2 linked regions of the Schizosaccharomyces pombe genome follow. The gene in region 2 interacts genetically with the main gene of each other region. Each region holds a gene or a part of one and is shown on either strand. Other genes may lie near its edges.

What was found.
Region 1: mutations in pmk1 (region 2) and cph1 together harm fitness more than expected from each alone (negative genetic interaction), as found in Schizosaccharomyces pombe (2 studies listed by BioGRID).

Annotation. Positions count from the first base shown.
Region 1 is NC_003424.3:797,352-801,495, reverse strand, and holds cph1 (Clr6 histone deacetylase-associated PHD protein-1 Cph1), read right to left. Parts: upstream 2,130-4,144; 5' UTR 1,947-2,129; coding exon 732-1,946; 3' UTR 515-731; downstream 1-514. Other genes in the region: ATP-dependent RNA helicase Upf1, read left to right, coding at 1-186; CCR4-Not complex subunit Mot2, read left to right, coding at 2,896-2,948, 2,999-3,178, 3,267-4,144.
Region 2 is NC_003423.3:728,796-733,482, forward strand, and holds pmk1 (MAP kinase Pmk1), read left to right. Parts: upstream 1-2,020; 5' UTR 2,021-2,064; coding exon 2,065-2,130; exon of another isoform or gene 2,131-2,230; coding exon 2,231-2,410; intron 2,411-2,683; coding exon 2,684-2,755; intron 2,756-2,837; coding exon 2,838-3,788; 3' UTR 3,789-4,157; downstream 4,158-4,687. Other genes in the region: serine/threonine protein kinase Vps15, read left to right, coding at 1-1,851. UniProt on the Schizosaccharomyces pombe protein: Regulates cell integrity and functions coordinately with the protein kinase C pathway (pck1 and pck2). Involved the regulation of wall architecture, cell shape, cytokinesis in exponential and stationary phase, and metabolism of ions.

The DNA of each region.
Region 1 (4,144 bases), on a different chromosome or scaffold from region 2:
AATGCCGGTTCTGCCATGTTACCTTCGTTTTCTAATCTTCCGAACTTATACTCTTCCTCGTATCTTGAAGAATGGAATGTCTTTGCTCAATACAAACGAAGAGAAAGCAACGCTACCGACTTTGAAGACTTTAGAAGTCAGGTTGGTGATGATGAAAGCAAGTTCGACGAACCTACTAGGTTCTAGTTAATAAGTATTTGCTTACTTGTAATTACGAATGCCAACATATCTTTTATTTGTTGATATTTTTGGTGTTCAAGTTTTATGGACCGTTTGGTCTGTAAGCGTTTTAAACCATTGATATGGCTGTTAAATAGACTTTAGTAATAGAACCTTTCCTTATCACTTTCTTTTATTTTATTCCTCTTTGTCTAGTAAATGCATCTTACTCATATATACTTATATATACTTATATATACTTATATATACTCACACGGTACAATACGCGTATAAAATTTAAGTATTGAGAAGTTGTTAGTATAAAATAGAACTTTTGCCCTATTAGGAAGGATTTGCAATGATTAATTGCATAACGAAAATTTTTTAAAAGCCTTAATGGAGAAAAGTAATGTAAAATAAGCCAATTACAACAGATAGCCAGTTCTAAGAGGTTTTATAAATACAACATTAGCAAAAAAATAACAGAAAACAACCTTTTCTGACGATTTGAACACGACAGATTAGATTAACGTAGTCTGATTTTATACAAAATGTAAAAATATCGTAAAAATTCAAGTGCGTGCCTTATTGAATAAAGTGCGTAGTGCAATAGGTAGGTTTGGGTGCGTTCTCGCAGGAAGTAGTGCGCTTTTTACGTCTGGAGGAATAACCTCTAACTCTCGTTTTTTCCTTTCATTATTAAACTTTTTAGCTTCTATGCCAATCGCGTACAAAAAATCTTTGATGAGACCGTCTTCTGAAACTTTGTAGAGACAACTCACGGGTAATCTTGGGAAATAGAGAAGTTCATCACTTGGAAACTCTCCCATAAGAAATTGCCATCCTGAAATCATGACTTTAGGATTAAGAGTATTAGAAGTTGTATCCAACACCAAGGGCGTCCTTATCACCACGGCGTTTTTTGGTACTCTCATACCTTTTTTTCCAATGGAGTCATGAGAGCATTTTTTAGCATGCTCTTTACAATTTTTATGATAGAAGGTGTCACACAGCTGGCAACCATAGACCCAACAAGCACCCATTGATGGCTTAGAGCAATAACCACAGTAAGCTAGATTAGTGATAGAGGAGCCAGTCGGCAAAGCAGAAAACTCGTCAGTATCCATTTCTCCTTCAGTTTCCTTATAAGCACCTGTATCCCCACGAGATATTCCATGGAAATAATGCACAAGGTCGTCGGGCAATCGGTACTGCGAGGGATTCTGAGAATCAATCCAATCGTAAAGCTGGGACCATATACTAAGAGGGTGCTTAGGAGGGTGATGCGATTTGATTGAGCAAGTCACACAAAACCAAGATCCTTCTGGAATATTTTCAGGAGTCAAGGGAGGTTCCAAGCATGAAAGATGGAAACTGCAAGGACATCCCTCGCAACAAATAAAAAGACCTCTTCCTCCGCATGCACTACAATAGTCGACGTTGCGTATAGTCGCTTTTCGTCTCCGTCGCTTTACAGGAGTTTGTTGAGATTCGGTTTCGAGATGACTTTTTAGGGAACTACCCCGGCTTTTTTGAATAGGTGCTTTATTTGGAGATTTATTCGAATAACTAGCTTTTTGTTTTTTCACTGGAGAACTTATATCCATCTCTTTGTCTTGGCTAATTGGCAAGACATTTACATGGTCAGTTGAAGAGTGAGTTGATGATGTTAAAGAATTATTTTTAAAATTAGAAGGGGGACCTTCATTTACGAAAGAGTCGCCATGACTATTATTAGAAATTGAAGGTACTGTAGGTTGAGATGAATTGTTTATAGAGGATGCCATTAGATACTTCCCATGCTATGAGCAAAGCAACATGTAATACGCGACGGTTAGCACTTAGAAATATCAATACTATCCTTAATGTTTTAAGGAATATTAAAGGTAAAATTAATGGTTATCGTAAAAAAGAACAATGGTCGAGGTTGTAAGTATATTATAGTGAAGCAACGCTGTTATGAAGATGCTAAGTTACAACAAGTCTTTGAACGCCAAACGTCGTTGCAATTAGACTTAGAAAACTACTTAAAGATATCTGATTTTCGAGAGGAGCATTTAGTATAAATGATTATCATAAGAATAAATTCCCTTCTATATGTAAAATATTTGAACATTTTGTTAAAAACTATTATCCATTTGATGGAACATGGAGCGTAAATTAAGTAGAGAAGCACTTTATGCCTCTTATTATGTTGTTCATCGTTTTTTCGTCAATTCAATATATTCACTAATTACTTAGAAGATGAAATAACTAAAGAATTTGACCACAACGTGAAAAAGTTGTATATATAATACATTCGTTTACAAACGTTTACTGCAATTAATTATCAAGATGAAATTATAGACGGTGAAACTTTTAAGGGTACTTTTTGTTGTTCAAACACAATTCCAAAAACCTTTGGAATAAGAATTTTCTCAAATTTCTTAATTCATGTCTATTAATTGCTATTTTTCGTGTGGTATATACTGTTCAAATCCAACCTCTCACCTAGTCATTGCCTCCTTCTTTTACACTAAGTTGTAAGTAAACTTATAACCAACCACAACTCGGTTTGCCCTTTAAAAAATATTTGTTTGAAGTCTAATGAATATTAAGGGAATTAACTAAATTAAATTAAAATCAAAGATTTGATTTAAGATATTTGAAGACTTCCTCTGTATTGTATAACGAGCGACCTTAAACAGTATCGATTTGGAGAGCACTGTGACGGAGATTTGACATATTTCACACAAAATGTTAAAAACGCAAGAGATATATTCTTCAGAAGATGAGGATGACATGTGTTGGTATGTTTTACTAGCCGATTAGTATCAAAATTAACTGACAATTGCAACAGTCCTCTATGTATGGAAGAAATTGATATCTCTGATAAAAACTTCAAACCATGCCAATGCGGATACAGAGTTTGTAGATTTTGCTGGCACCATATCAAAGAAGATCTAAATGGCCGTTGTCCTGCATGTCGCCGTCTGTACACTGAAGAAAATGTTCAATGGCGGCCTGTCACGGCAGAGGAGTATGTAATTCAGATTATAGAATTCTTGTTTAAGCATAATCTTGTTTAAATTCACTTTTATTTTTAAACATGTCGCTAATGTTTTTAGATGGAAGATGGACTTACATCGAAAAAACGAGAGGAAGAAACGCGAGAAAGAGAGGAAGGAAGTCGAGCTTTCAAACAGGAAGCATCTTGCAAATATTCGTGTTGTACAAAAGAACCTTGCCTATGTAAACGGCCTTTCTCCCAAAGTTGCAAATGAGGAGAATATCAACGTTCTGAAGGGACCTGAATACTTTGGTCAATACGGAAAGATTATTAAAATTGCAATAAATAAGAAGGCTGCTGCAAATTCTGCAAATGGTCATGTTGGAGTTTATATTACATACCAAAGAAAAGAAGATGCTGCACGAGCGATTGCTGCAATTGATGGCAGCGTAAGTGATGGGCGACATCTTCGCGCATCTTATGGTACCACTAAATATTGCACTTCTTATTTACGGAATCAGCAATGCCCCAATCCTTCTTGCATGTATTTACATGAACCCGGTGACGAGGTGGATAGTTATACTAAAGAAGACTTGGCATCTCTTCAACATACCCGTCCTCTTTCCACTAAACCTAATGTGGTAAATGGTGCTACTCATTCTCCTTCTCCTTCTCTTCCATTCAAAACACCTCTACTTCCTGTTACGAAAACACCGTTAGAAGAGGCTAATAGTAGTCCAGCTGCACAAAATCAGCATATTACAACAGTTGATCATGTTCATCCACAAGTGTCAATGACACCTTCCTTATCCACTAATAACACTGCTACCAGCGTTCCTGCCCCTTATTCTTCTGCTGCTTCTGTAAACGTCGTTCCTGGACATGCAACAACTATTCTTCATCACGAAGAGAGTTCTGCTCTTCCACCAACTGCTGCTTGGGCAAAATTATCTCCAAGCGTATTACAAGAACGATTACGTGCCGCTGTTAATCAGC
Region 2 (4,687 bases):
AAAAGCCTCGCACCGTTGATCTCTTCTAGGGTTTCAACGAATGATACAACTAATGTTGCCGGTATTCGAAGCCAAAGATCATTTACTACTCATATCGATTTGAAAAAGCTTACCACGAGGCAAAATGGCGCAAAAAAATCATCGTATACTGGAACTAATCCATGCGTCTTAAATTATTTAAATAAAATTTATGCAGAAGCAGCGGCTTCGACACTTAACGTTGGTGCTGCTGTTTCACCAAGCTGGGCTTCTAATATACCTTTGCGTCGTAGAACAAAGGTGTCTGCGAAGGCTGCGAATAAAATAGTTCAGACTCATGAATGGCATCCAGAAGGATCACGAGTTGCTCAGATATATTTAGGAAGCCTTCTTGATGGAGGTACGAAGAAAGTTTTGGTTAGTCCAGATTCATCTTTTTTCGTTACCTTGGGATCTGACGGTGTTGTAAGAGCATGGCAATTAGTTGAAAGTGTTCGTCATATTTCAACTATGAGATGTGAATGCCGATTAAGTTATGGGCATACGCGACGTAATGGCGAGAGGAATAGATTTTCTGTGGTCAATGGATGCTTTCTAGGTAATACATACGCTTTTGCTTCTGTTACTCAAGATGGCTCTGTGGAAGTTCACAGACTTGACGTTAACAATCAGCGGCATACTCTAATTTCGGCTGGTCGTATTCCCAATTTGGATTTCAGTGATTCTGTAACCTCCATGGAAGCTTCTACATTTCACGACGGGAGTATCCGTCTAGTCGTTGTTACAAAATGGTCACGCATCGTATACTTAGACGTGGGAATGATGAGGGTTTTGTCATCAGACCAATTACCATTACAGTGTGGGTCAGCTACTAGTGTAGTAGTTTCTGAGGGTTGTAATTGGGCTTTAATTGGGACTACCAAAGGATGGCTCTTACTTTGGGACCTCCGCTTTGGGACATTATCATGCTCTTGGCATATGCCAGCCAGGATTGATCAGATGCATCTTCTTTTAGATGTTACCAAAAAACGTAGCAACGTTAATGAGTATACTTCCGGAAATAACAATAGTCCCGTTACCAAGGTTCCAGGTAGCTCAAGTACAAGTTCAAGTAGTACTCAGCCAATTAACTCTACTATTCCCATCAATCCTTTAGAAAATCACGGAATGTTAAACTCGTTTGGAAGCACTACAGTCAGTATCAGTTTTAGCGTCCTTACCAACTTGGATAATAAAGAAGTTAATCTTGAAGATGCAGTTCCAGCGAGTCACAGATCCGCTTCAGGCATAGTAAATTTTGACGTTGAAAAAGGGAAAACCGAAGAGGTTTTCTTAGAAAACTGGAATTCTTCACTCACCAGTCCGATTCCGGTATCTGTTGGAATTGATGCTTTTAATGAAAAAAAAAAGTTTGATATAGATTCTGGCAATGACATGGGATTAAGAGATTTGAATACCAAATTCGACTCTCCTTGGCCTTGTATATCTAGTCCAATCTATAGGTACAGAGGTCCGTCTGCAGGTTCTGTCGAACGAGAGCCACTTTTTCTCATTGCCGCTTCTGGAAGCCCTCATGCGTTTATTTGGAATCCCCACAATGTCTCTGCTAGTTCGTCGGTGACCAACGACTCCGAGAGTTCAAAACTATCTTTAATACATAACAAACCTCCTATCTACCAAAAAGTCTCTGAACAACAGAATGTACGCCCAAAGTCTTCGGGAGTGTCAAGGCCTCTTCTATTCCTTCAACAGCAAAAGAATCTACCTAGCGAAAATCGTCTGCACCCCATCGTTGACATGGCCTTCTTGTACCAACCGTACGCTATAGTGCTTATTGTTGACGCTTTTGGTAGTCTTGAACTCTGGACCTAGTTTCTTTTAGTATTCCTCATATATTTATTAGATTTGTATGCATATTCTTTAATACCATAAATTCCATCTGATAGTCTTCAAATCTAACCGACTTGCATTCAAATAGTGAAATATAAGGCATCGTTAATCACTACAAGTGATGTACTGTAGTTTTTTCCACATCCCTTTTGCCAAACAGCTAAAAATTCAAGTTGCATGCTATAAGTCGCAAGGATGGACCGTCGACATCGTGTTTACCGTGTGTTTAACCAGGAGATGTATGTCGAGCCTAATTTTAAGGTATGAGATATTTGGGTAACTGCTGCATTTGCAAAACATTTTGTTTACTTGACAGAAAATCGCATCTGCTTGAACTTTTAGGAAAACTAACATAGTTTAGGTAGTGAAGGAGTTGGGTCAAGGCGCTTACGGCATTGTTTGTGCAGCAAGAAACGTGGCTAGCAAAGATCAAGAGGCTGTAGCCATAAAAAAAATTACGAATGTGTTTTCTAAATCCATTCTTACAAAAAGAGCTTTGAGAGAGATAAAACTGCTGATTCATTTTCGTAATCATCGTAACGTAAGTCTTTTATGCAAAAACGGCTTCCTGTGATTGATTACTCATCATCACCGGGATGTATTAACGAGGTGCATTTTGATGAAAATGCAAATTTTTATACAATGAAAAGTCTTCTATGAGAAATGAGTTCTAATCATCCTTGAAAAGTATTTCCTTTATAAATCTTGATATAATGTTTGGAATTCGGTTGATTAAAAAATTTGAACTGCTCATTGTCTTACATTTGCATAGTGATGTCTTTCCTATTTTTTATAAACTTTACTAACATGGTAGATTACTTGCATTTACGATCTCGACATTATAAATCCATACAATTTTAATGAAGTTTACATTTACGAAGAGTTGGTATGTTACGCGATGATCCACATATGGTGTCTGTTTTAGTCACGGAAATATTTGTATAATTACTTACTAACTATTATAATAGATGGAGGCCGATTTGAATGCTATTATTAAATCCGGTCAGCCATTAACGGATGCGCATTTTCAATCATTCATTTACCAGATACTTTGTGGTTTAAAGTATATTCATTCTGCCAACGTTATTCATCGTGACTTAAAGCCAGGTAATCTTTTAGTTAACGCTGATTGTGAGCTGAAAATTTGCGATTTTGGCCTCGCTCGCGGATGTTCTGAAAATCCAGAAGAAAATCCTGGTTTTATGACGGAGTATGTGGCAACGCGCTGGTACAGAGCTCCGGAAATTATGCTTTCGTTCAGCAGCTATCATAAAGGTATTGATGTTTGGAGTGTTGGTTGCATTTTGGCAGAGCTATTAGGTGGAACCCCTTTGTTTAAGGGAAAAGATTTTGTTCATCAGTTAAATTTAATTTTGCATCAACTTGGCACACCTGATGAGGAAACCCTGTCTCATATAAGCAGTTCCCGTGCACAGGAGTATGTTCGAAGCTTGCCAAAGCAAAGACCTATTCCTTTTGAAACCAATTTTCCTAAAGCCAATCCTTTGGCTCTTGACCTGCTTGCTAAGCTCTTGGCTTTCGACCCCAACAGACGTATTTCGGTTGACGATGCTTTAGAACATCCCTATTTAGCTGTTTGGCATGATCCCTCTGACGAACCTGTGTGTGATTCCGTCTTTGATTTCAGCTTTGAATACATTGAGGATGCAAATGAGTTACGCCGTGTCATTTTAGATGAAGTTTTAAACTTCCGTCAGAAAGTCCGACGCCGCTCTCATCCAACAAACCCAACAGTCAACATCCCGCAACCAGCCCAAACCGTTCCATCTAATGACAATGGTTCTTTCAATGTTAGTAGCTCTTCATCCTCTCAAACCTCTAACAAAAAGCGCCATGATCATTCTTATAATGAAACTGCTGCTATAGACCATAAGTCTGATGATAATCGCCATAACTAATACATTGGCAGCAGCTGGTTTTATTGAGCCTTTTTACGGTAACATTTGCATACAAATCATTCATTGCGTTTTCTCATTTTTACATAAATTAGCTATTGCTATCTTTTGAGCTTTGCTGGCTACTGTCGAATCTCTGTTTGCTCGTTTAATTTCCATAAAAAATACTCATTTGCATTAGTCCTTCATTTACTGTTTTGCATATAATATTTGGCGATCTTTGTGCTCCCTTTTCTTGCACGCTTTATAGTCTCACAGCTTGAAACATTTTGTTATACATACATGCATGCATATACACCCGTACTACAACTAGAAAAATATATAAATAGAACAGCTAATTACTTAAAAATATTACTTTTACTAGTGAACGAGTATATCTGTGGTAGAGTAATTTCCTTTATTAGGGAACATCCCAATGAAATCACAAAACTAACTAACCAAGACAAAATAGATGAATAAATACATCAGTCATGAATTTGTATCCTGCAACAATTAAACAACATTCGTGCACAAGGATAGCTCTCTTCAAGTAGAAGCGTCTTATAATGAAATGCAAAGCGGTCGAATATGAAATTATGTGCATATTTTTATAAATCAGAAAAAATATGTAAGATGATATTCGAGACGCGAATGAAGTTTTACAATAGAAAGGGAAAGCCTTTACAAATACCTGCAAAAAAGGTCGTACAGATTCCGTTGTTTTTTGGGAAAGCAAATCATGATGCGCAAATCCTATATAAAAGGAACAGTTTTTTTTAGGAGAAAATTTTGGCAATTGCCGCTATGGCATCCATTACTAGCAATGAAATAAAGCAGAAGGCGGGCGACCTTGATTCCAGTAAAGGCTAACGGGAAAAATAAAAGGGAAAAACGACGTCACAAATAAGTGAACAAAAAGTCAT